Notamacropus eugenii: one gene and its partner. Each later gene encodes a partner of the first gene's protein in a complex. Links are inferred from orthologs where the notes say so. Each region holds a gene or a part of one and is shown in the gene's direction. Other genes may lie near its edges.

The links.
Region 2: RRN3 (region 1) and TAF1A share a complex: the UniProt entries of both Homo sapiens proteins name them as parts of the pol I pre-initiation complex. The link is inferred for Notamacropus eugenii from reciprocal best matches to the Homo sapiens genes RRN3 and TAF1A.

Annotation. Positions count from the first base shown.
Region 1 is NC_092872.1:95,690,711-95,694,457, forward strand, and holds the start of RRN3 (RNA polymerase I-specific transcription initiation factor RRN3), read left to right. Parts: upstream 1-1,223; 5' UTR 1,224-1,270; coding exon 1,271-1,377; intron 1,378-3,747. UniProt on the Homo sapiens protein: Required for efficient transcription initiation by RNA polymerase I (Pol I). Required for the formation of the competent pre-initiation complex (PIC).
Region 2 is NC_092873.1:414,094,359-414,098,105, forward strand, and holds the start of TAF1A (TATA box-binding protein-associated factor RNA polymerase I subunit A), read left to right. Parts: upstream 1-1,507; 5' UTR 1,508-1,729; coding exon 1,730-1,880; intron 1,881-3,239; coding exon 3,240-3,362; intron 3,363-3,747. UniProt on the Homo sapiens protein: Component of the transcription factor SL1/TIF-IB complex, which is involved in the assembly of the PIC (pre-initiation complex) during RNA polymerase I-dependent transcription.

The DNA of each region.
Region 1 (3,747 bases):
TTTCCATACTTTGATGGGGGGTTGTGACAGGCTAGAGGTCAGAAACTAATGTGCAGGCCCAAGGGGCTGTGTGAGGAATACCCTATCAGAGGAGAACATGAAGTCACACGGCCAGCGGACCATATGGAAGGAAATCCAAAGTTCAGAATTCTATAAGGGTCCTGACTCATCATGACCTGATCGAAGTCTTTCCGGGAGCCATGCTGGAAGCTACCCCTTCCTTCCTAAAAGGAACTTAGGCCTTCCCTATTCTGAACTCCATTTTTAATAGATTTTGATACCTTTTTCGTGTGTCAAGTTTGTCTCTAACACTATGGAGCACAAAAATTATAAATAACTGAGGTTGGGACCCTTTCAGTTGGTGTCTTTATCCCCAAATAATGTCATTCTCCCTCAAACGCCCCAGTTCAGGACAATCCTGATGGTGCCTCACGTTTCCACATCAGAACACAAGCAATGACACTTTTCTTATGGAAGATTAATTTTTTTGGTTCTTTTCAACGTTTGTTGATGCATTTTGTGTTTACCACTTTTATTTCCAAATGTACTCCTCCCTCGGCACTCTCTCTGCCACCCAGAAAAGCTGCCTTTTTGTTTACTGGCTCCATGTCCTGCTCCAAGGCCAAGCCTCAAACCCAATTCACTCTGGAGCTGACCGCTGGACAAGTGCCCACCCACCCGGCACAGGGGGTATGATAACTAAATAGGAATCGTTTCTCTTTCCCCTAGGAAGCCCCAGGGGCTTCCCCTCCCAGTCTGATTATTATTAGTAAAGTGGCCATCCCTTGAGTAACTTAAAGAAGCCTCTTCTCGGAATGGGGGCTTCTCACCCAAAGGGAGAGGGCAGGGTCTCCCACCGCCTCCCGGGCCACCTCAGGCCACTGGGCCCACATGGCTCCGGAGGAGAAGGGGAGGCTGGGGCCCTCGCGCAGCCCTCCCTCACTCAAATCAGTCACCTGCAAGTCACGCCGTCATCGTGACGTCACGGTCCTCTTCGAGACCCAAGGACAAACACAAGAACCCGCCCACCCAGACAGGGAAGCCCCGGCGCCGCTCCGCCCCGCCCCGCCGCAAGGGAGCGCCAAGCCGAGGCCAAGCCGACGCTCTAGCCCCAAAGAAAGATCGCCCTCTCTCCCAGGCGCTCCCTCGTAGCTCCTCAGACTGGCTGGGAGCATGTGGAAGGGGAGGAGTTTAGCGAGTCAAGTTCCGGTTCGGGCCGCTATGAGCCAGCATCACTTCCGGGGCAAACTCCTCTCGCTCAGCTGTTCCTATGGCGGCCCCGTTGCTCCACACGCGGCTGCCCGGAGACGGGGCCGCGGCCGCTGTAGCGCCAGCCCCGGGCTCCGCTGTCACGTCTCCGGGGGCTTCGAGGACCGGGTAAGTGGCTGGGGCCCACCATCTTTCCCGCCTGGAGGTGAGGGGTGACCCTCTCCTCGATCGGGGGCGTCAGATGGGTGGCAGAGAGGTCCGCGTAGGATGCGGGGCGTGGGGGCCTGGAGTTGGGGGCTGGCCCGCAGGCTTCGGCCTGAGCGCCCCCTCCCCGGAGCGTCCCCCCCTGCCGCGGCGCGGGGAGGACGTCGGGGCCTTCCCCAGCCCCTAACGCGCGGGTTCGCGGCTTCTCTTGTGACCGGGCCTGGTGACACGGCCCGCCGCGCCTCCGCTGGAAAGGCCGGCGATCCCTCTGGAATCACAAGGGCCCGCTGTGTCCCGTCACTGCGCTGGGGATGCGGAGATGGAAATGAAATAGTCCGGCTTCCCCCGACGAACTAGAGTCTCCCTGGGGAGACCGCGTATTCAAGTGTACACACATGCGTATGTACGTGTGTTAAGCGGTGTAAAGGGATTACTTCCTCTGCGATGTTTTCTATAGGTAGTGTTTCAGCTTAGCATGAAAATGGAAACTCTTTTTAAGTCTGTATGTGCCGTGCCATAGTATTTAATAGAATGGTGAGGCTGGCTGGTGAGGGGCGGGTCCTGGACTCCTAGGCTCAAATCCAGCCTCAGACACTTTCTAGCCGACCCTGGGCAAGTTACTGAACCCTGTTTGCTTCAGTTTCCTCATCTGTCAGATGAGCTGGAGAAGGACAGGGCAAACCACTCGAATATCTTTGCCCAGAAAATCCCAATGGAGTCACAAAGAGTAGGACATGACAGAACAAGAAGTGTTTAACATGCGCAATGTTGAAGCTCATGATGTTCTGTAATGGAACTTAGTGTTTGAACAGTTGCCACAGAAACTGTCATACTAGTTATTAATTAAATCATACCTCATCTATAAAATATGTGTATATCCTTGTATATGTTGTCCCCCCTAGGGAGATTCTAAACTTGTTTACGTTTGTGTATTCACATGTGTGTGTATTCATGTACATATGATACATACTTGTGATTTAATCCTTATAGATAACTTCCCAGATGAGAAATTCAGTGCTTGGCACAGTTCCTGGAACATAGTAAGGGCATAATAAATATTGATTGATTGTAATTTTCCCTCCACTTATGCAGGTTGGCACTTTTTCTACAATTCAAAATCTTGGAGAGTTGCCTAGAGGTTAAGTGATTTGCAAAGGGTCACACAATGTTTCAGAGGCAGTACTGGAACCCAAGTCTTCAGCATCCAAAGCTGGCTCTCTCTTTGTTCACTATGCCACATTACTTCTCATGTATACCCATATCCCACTTTTGAGGGGAGAGGAGGGAAGGGCAAGGTTAGTGGTTGTGTTGGGGGGCAATCATGAAAAAACTTCTGGTAGAAAGTGGCTCTTGATCTGAGTTTTGAAGGAAACTAGGGATTCTGAGAGTCATGGGTGTGAAAGGAATGAATTTCAGATATAATGGACAGCTTGTATGAAGGCACTGAATATTACATGAGGAACAGCTATAAAAAATAACCAGAAGTCCTGTTAGGTTAGACTGTAAAGTATGGAGAGGGGAATAATGTAGTAAGTCTGGAAAGGTAATTTGGGTCCATGTTGTGAGGGGTTTTAAATACTAAACTGATATTTGTATTTGACTAGAGGTAAAAGTAATAAGATAATGAAGTTTTTGAGTAGGGAGGTGGCATGGTCAGACGCAACTATACTTTAGGAAAATCACTTTGGCACTTTTATGGGGGCCAGTATATGTTACAGGAGGAGATAGACTTGAGGCAGGGAGACCAATTGAGTGGATATTGCAATAGTCCAAGCAAGAGGTGATGAACTAGAGGTGGTACCTTGTGAGTAAATTGACAAGGCTTAGGAAGGATAGGGAAAGAAATTTCATTAGTATAGGGAAACTCAGGTGAGGAAATTCCCTCTGCCAATGCAGTCTGCCCTCTCCTTGCATCTAAAGAGTTAAGTTCCTTTAGAGCCATGAGAGGTTAACTGACTTGCCCAGGATCACAGCCAGTATGTTTCAGAGGTGGGACCAGAACACAGGTCTTCCAGCTTCAGGGTTCTCTCTCTCTATTCTACTATAAGAGTTTCTTCAAATCACTTGCCAGTGCTTCAGTGTATCAGCCGCTTACTAAATTGTATAAGCTCCTTGAGACTGTGACTTTGTATCCTCTTGGATCCTTATTGTCTTCAGCGCTAAGGATGTTGAAGAAAATGTTAATTGAATTTGAATGACTGCCTAGATGTTTTCTGCACAGAAAATACAACAAGCTTTCTTTTTCTTCAAAAGAATGCATTCCTTAATAAAAGAAATAAATTTTTTAAAATTTTTTGTTTTCTTTCTTTAAATTGCTTTGTTTTATTTTTTAAA
Region 2 (3,747 bases), on another chromosome or scaffold:
GAATGGTCTAATTTCTCCTCCATTTGAAGGGCTGCACCCTATTTCAGAGCAGGCTCGTCTCTGGGCTGGGCGCCTCGAAACCTAAGACGGGCGAAATGTGCTTCTGTCTGCTCGCCTCCTGCCCAGCCTGGCTGGCTTCTCAAGTCACGTACTTGTGATCAGGGGACGCTCAGTGTCCTGCCAAGGCTGGAAGGGGAGAATTCCTTTTTTAAGGTTCAAGGCAAAGTAAAAGCATCCATTAGGAATATGTTGGCACGGGCATAATCATAACTATGCACAGTTAAACACTGTTTAACAGTGATTCCCGTCTCCCGCTTTCTTCTTCTTCTGCCCAAAACAGGAGTGGAGCGCTCGGACAGACGAGGACAGCCTAAGCCTTTCTGGCAGGACAGCTCCAACCCTCGGTCCTCGTGCTTCCTCTGCGCATCAACAGCTGCGCGCAAAGCCAAGCTGGCAAGTTCATCAAGAGTCAAAGGTCAGGGGTCATCAGCGGCCAGGCACTCAAGTGTCACCCTAAACCCCTCATTCTCCGGATCTGAGACCACAGTGACGGGAAAACCTATTCCGGGAATGCGGGATCCTCAGACGCCGGAAGCGGGGGAGGCGAGAGGCGCCGAAAAGGGGGGGGGGGGTCAAAGGAAGTGACGCAAGCGCTCTCTATAAGGCAACACGCGAGCGCATGCGCCGTCGGATCGTGCTCCGCTGTGCGTTTCACTGCATGCTCCCGGGCTGTCTGAACTTCCGCGGGGTTTCCTCTGGGTCCTAAGGAGAGGTGGAAAGAGGCCAGAGCCGAGCTCCGGTAAGTGTCAGAATGAGAATTCACAGATTCAGGAGCCGCTAACGGTGACTGGGCCTAGTCTCGGACGTCCCCTTACGTCTGGGCCCGCTTATTTATTTTTTTAGTAATGGCTCGGCCTTGTTGCCTTGGGAACTCGAGCCCCTGCCCTCTCCCTTCCCTCGCTTCCTTTCCCTCCTCTACCCCCGGGGAGGCGAGGCTTGGTTGCCATGGTAACCGCGTAACTGGGAGGGCAGACCGGAGGCGGGGAGGTGGCCTAGGACCCTCTGCTCGTCGCTCCGGCTGAGGAGGGGCGGTAATTGGTGAGGTCACGGCCGTCGTCTGTTAAGTCTCGTCCCAATTACGAAACCTCTGTGATGGAGGTCCTAAACTTTACGAAGCTAGTGATCAAAGCCCTGCGGTGGCGATGAAGATGATGATGGCGATGATGGGGATGGAGAAGGACTTCTACGGGGGTTTATAAAGTAACTTCCTCCTAACCTCACGACCCCTAGCAAGCGCCTACTACACCCAGCGTGTGCCCAGCGCTGGGCAGGGGGCAGTTCCCGCCCCCAAGGAGCTCGCAGTCTAATTGAGGGGACACCCTGCGGACAGATCCATGCAAAGACAGCTGTATACTAGGTAAACAGGAAATAGCGAGCCGAGGGAAAGCCCTGCAACCCAGAGGGTGGGGGAAGGCTTCCTGTAGGAGGCGGGATTTTTAGTTGGGACCAGCCGGGGAGGTCAGTGGTCAGAGCCGAGGAGGAAGAGCGGTCCAGACTCGGGGGTCAGTTTGAGAAAGTGCCTGGAGCCAGGAGAAGCGGAGGTGCCCAGCGTTTTTGTGTGCCCTGCTGGGAATTACGCAGCTCCGTGGTGAAGTGTCAGGGCAGGGATGACAAAAAGGAGGCTTTAAAGATCCGTGGGGCTTGCGAGGGCCATGCCGTAGGCTGTCTGATGATGCCCTCACAACCACCTTGGAAGCAGGGGCTGCGGCGGACTGATCCTGACTCAGGTTCTGCAGACCTCCAGCTCAGGGCTCTGCCCACGGTGTCACTTAGCTCCACGCGGACGTGCGAGTCCGGCGCTTGTCCTGTGCTTTTAGAGAGTGAGTTATGGTGTATGTAGTGAGAGCTGTCCTTGGGCCAAGGCTGACATGTAGTGACTGTATGACCCTGGTCAAGTCACTTATCCACTTGGTGCTGTAGACAACTCTGAGTTATAGAAGAGGCCCTGACCCACCTTGGTGGGAGGAGTTTTCTCATAGGAGTTCCCCCTGTCAGTGAAGTGACAGGTCCTGTCCCTGGTGCTCCTTGTGTGTTATTTCATTTGGGCAGACAATATGACTTACCACATTTAAAAAAAGAAGCTGAAGTGCCTAAAGATTAAGCCTTTGAAAATGAGGAAGCTGAGTTGATTTCTAAAGGTTCATCCACCTCTAACATTCCATGAACCTCTGTTATATTATATAATACTTTGTGGTGTACTCAGATTATTTCTTGTCTGTTTTTCTTCAACTAAATTGTTCTGTCATTCTTAATGAATTCTAAGCTCCTCTTATATAACAAAATATTAAGTAATTGTCTACAGTAGAAATCTCAAATACTCCCAACCAGATTAAGAAGTAATTGAAAACTATTTAGCAAAATAAATATACATAGAACATAGATAATGTTAATATGTGGTTTCTTAAGTTAATATGCAGCTTCAGGGATCCTTATTATTTAGAATTTAGTGGACTCTGTTTCTGTTTGGGATTGATACCATTGTTCTACACATCAAACCACTAATTAGAAAATTGTGATTCTTTTTACACTTTATCCTATCTCTGATCACTTGTTAAAGCAGGCTGGTAGAATCAGTAGTGTCTTGTCACAGATTTAACAGTGAGAGGACTTGAGTAGACTGTATGAGAAAACTGAGGCCCAGAGGGCATGTGTCACATAATTACTAATCAAAGGAAATTTCACCAAGTCCAGTCCTCTGTTAATATCTGTTAACTTGAGCAAAACCATGACTGATTTACATTGTTAAAACCTATAAAACTTGTATTAAGATCTTAGATTTGAAGCTTGAAGGAACCTTAGAGATCATGCCAATTGAGGCAGACACTGATAAGTGACTTGTCCAGGGTCACACAGTTAGGAATTGTCTGAGGCCAGATTTGAACTCAGGAAGATGAGTCTTCCTGACTCCATGCCCAGGCCTGACTCCAGGGACTCTATCTGCTGTGCCACCTAGGTGCCTATATACTGAAAGTGCTTAATAAATGTCTTTTTAAATTGATTTATATGGATGTTACCTTCTGGTCCATTTCAGTTACTACTGACAGCTCAATTTTGTTTTAAACTAAAGGAAATTCCAGGCACATTGAAGTGCATGCTATATTTGTTAGTTTTTTAAAAATGCTTTTTGAGCTATAGATTTATGTGCAGAATTTGTAAATATTCTTTTTCATTTGGAGTAGATATGGATACTTTCAGTGATGAACTAACGAGTCCTGGGGAAGAGGATGATCAAGTAGAAGCATCAGTAGGCGCTGGTCCAGAAATACATTTACCTTGGCGTTTACAGCACATCCAGAGTATAGGTAAGTGGAGCTGAACTATGGGAATAATATACACAATATGAAAAACAGATATAGGAATTTGGGCTTCCTGATTGTTTGGATTCTAGATAAATAAGAGTTACCATATCATGAGGATTTCTTTATAAATCTTATTCTTTCACTGAAAGTGGGCCTCATATACTCTTAGGGTTCTAGGGAAGTATGTTTCCCTAGTATAGGGTTATGAGCTATATACTATATGCAGTTATCCTTTCCACATTGAGAAGTAGGGGGTTAGGGGTGCAGCACCCCTGTAATCTGGAAAATCTACTTAAAATGTTTTGGCCCTCTCTTCGTACCAGAGAAGAGGTCTGATTATTTTCTTTTTCTTTCATGGAGTGTTTACAATACCTTATAAAATTTAGGT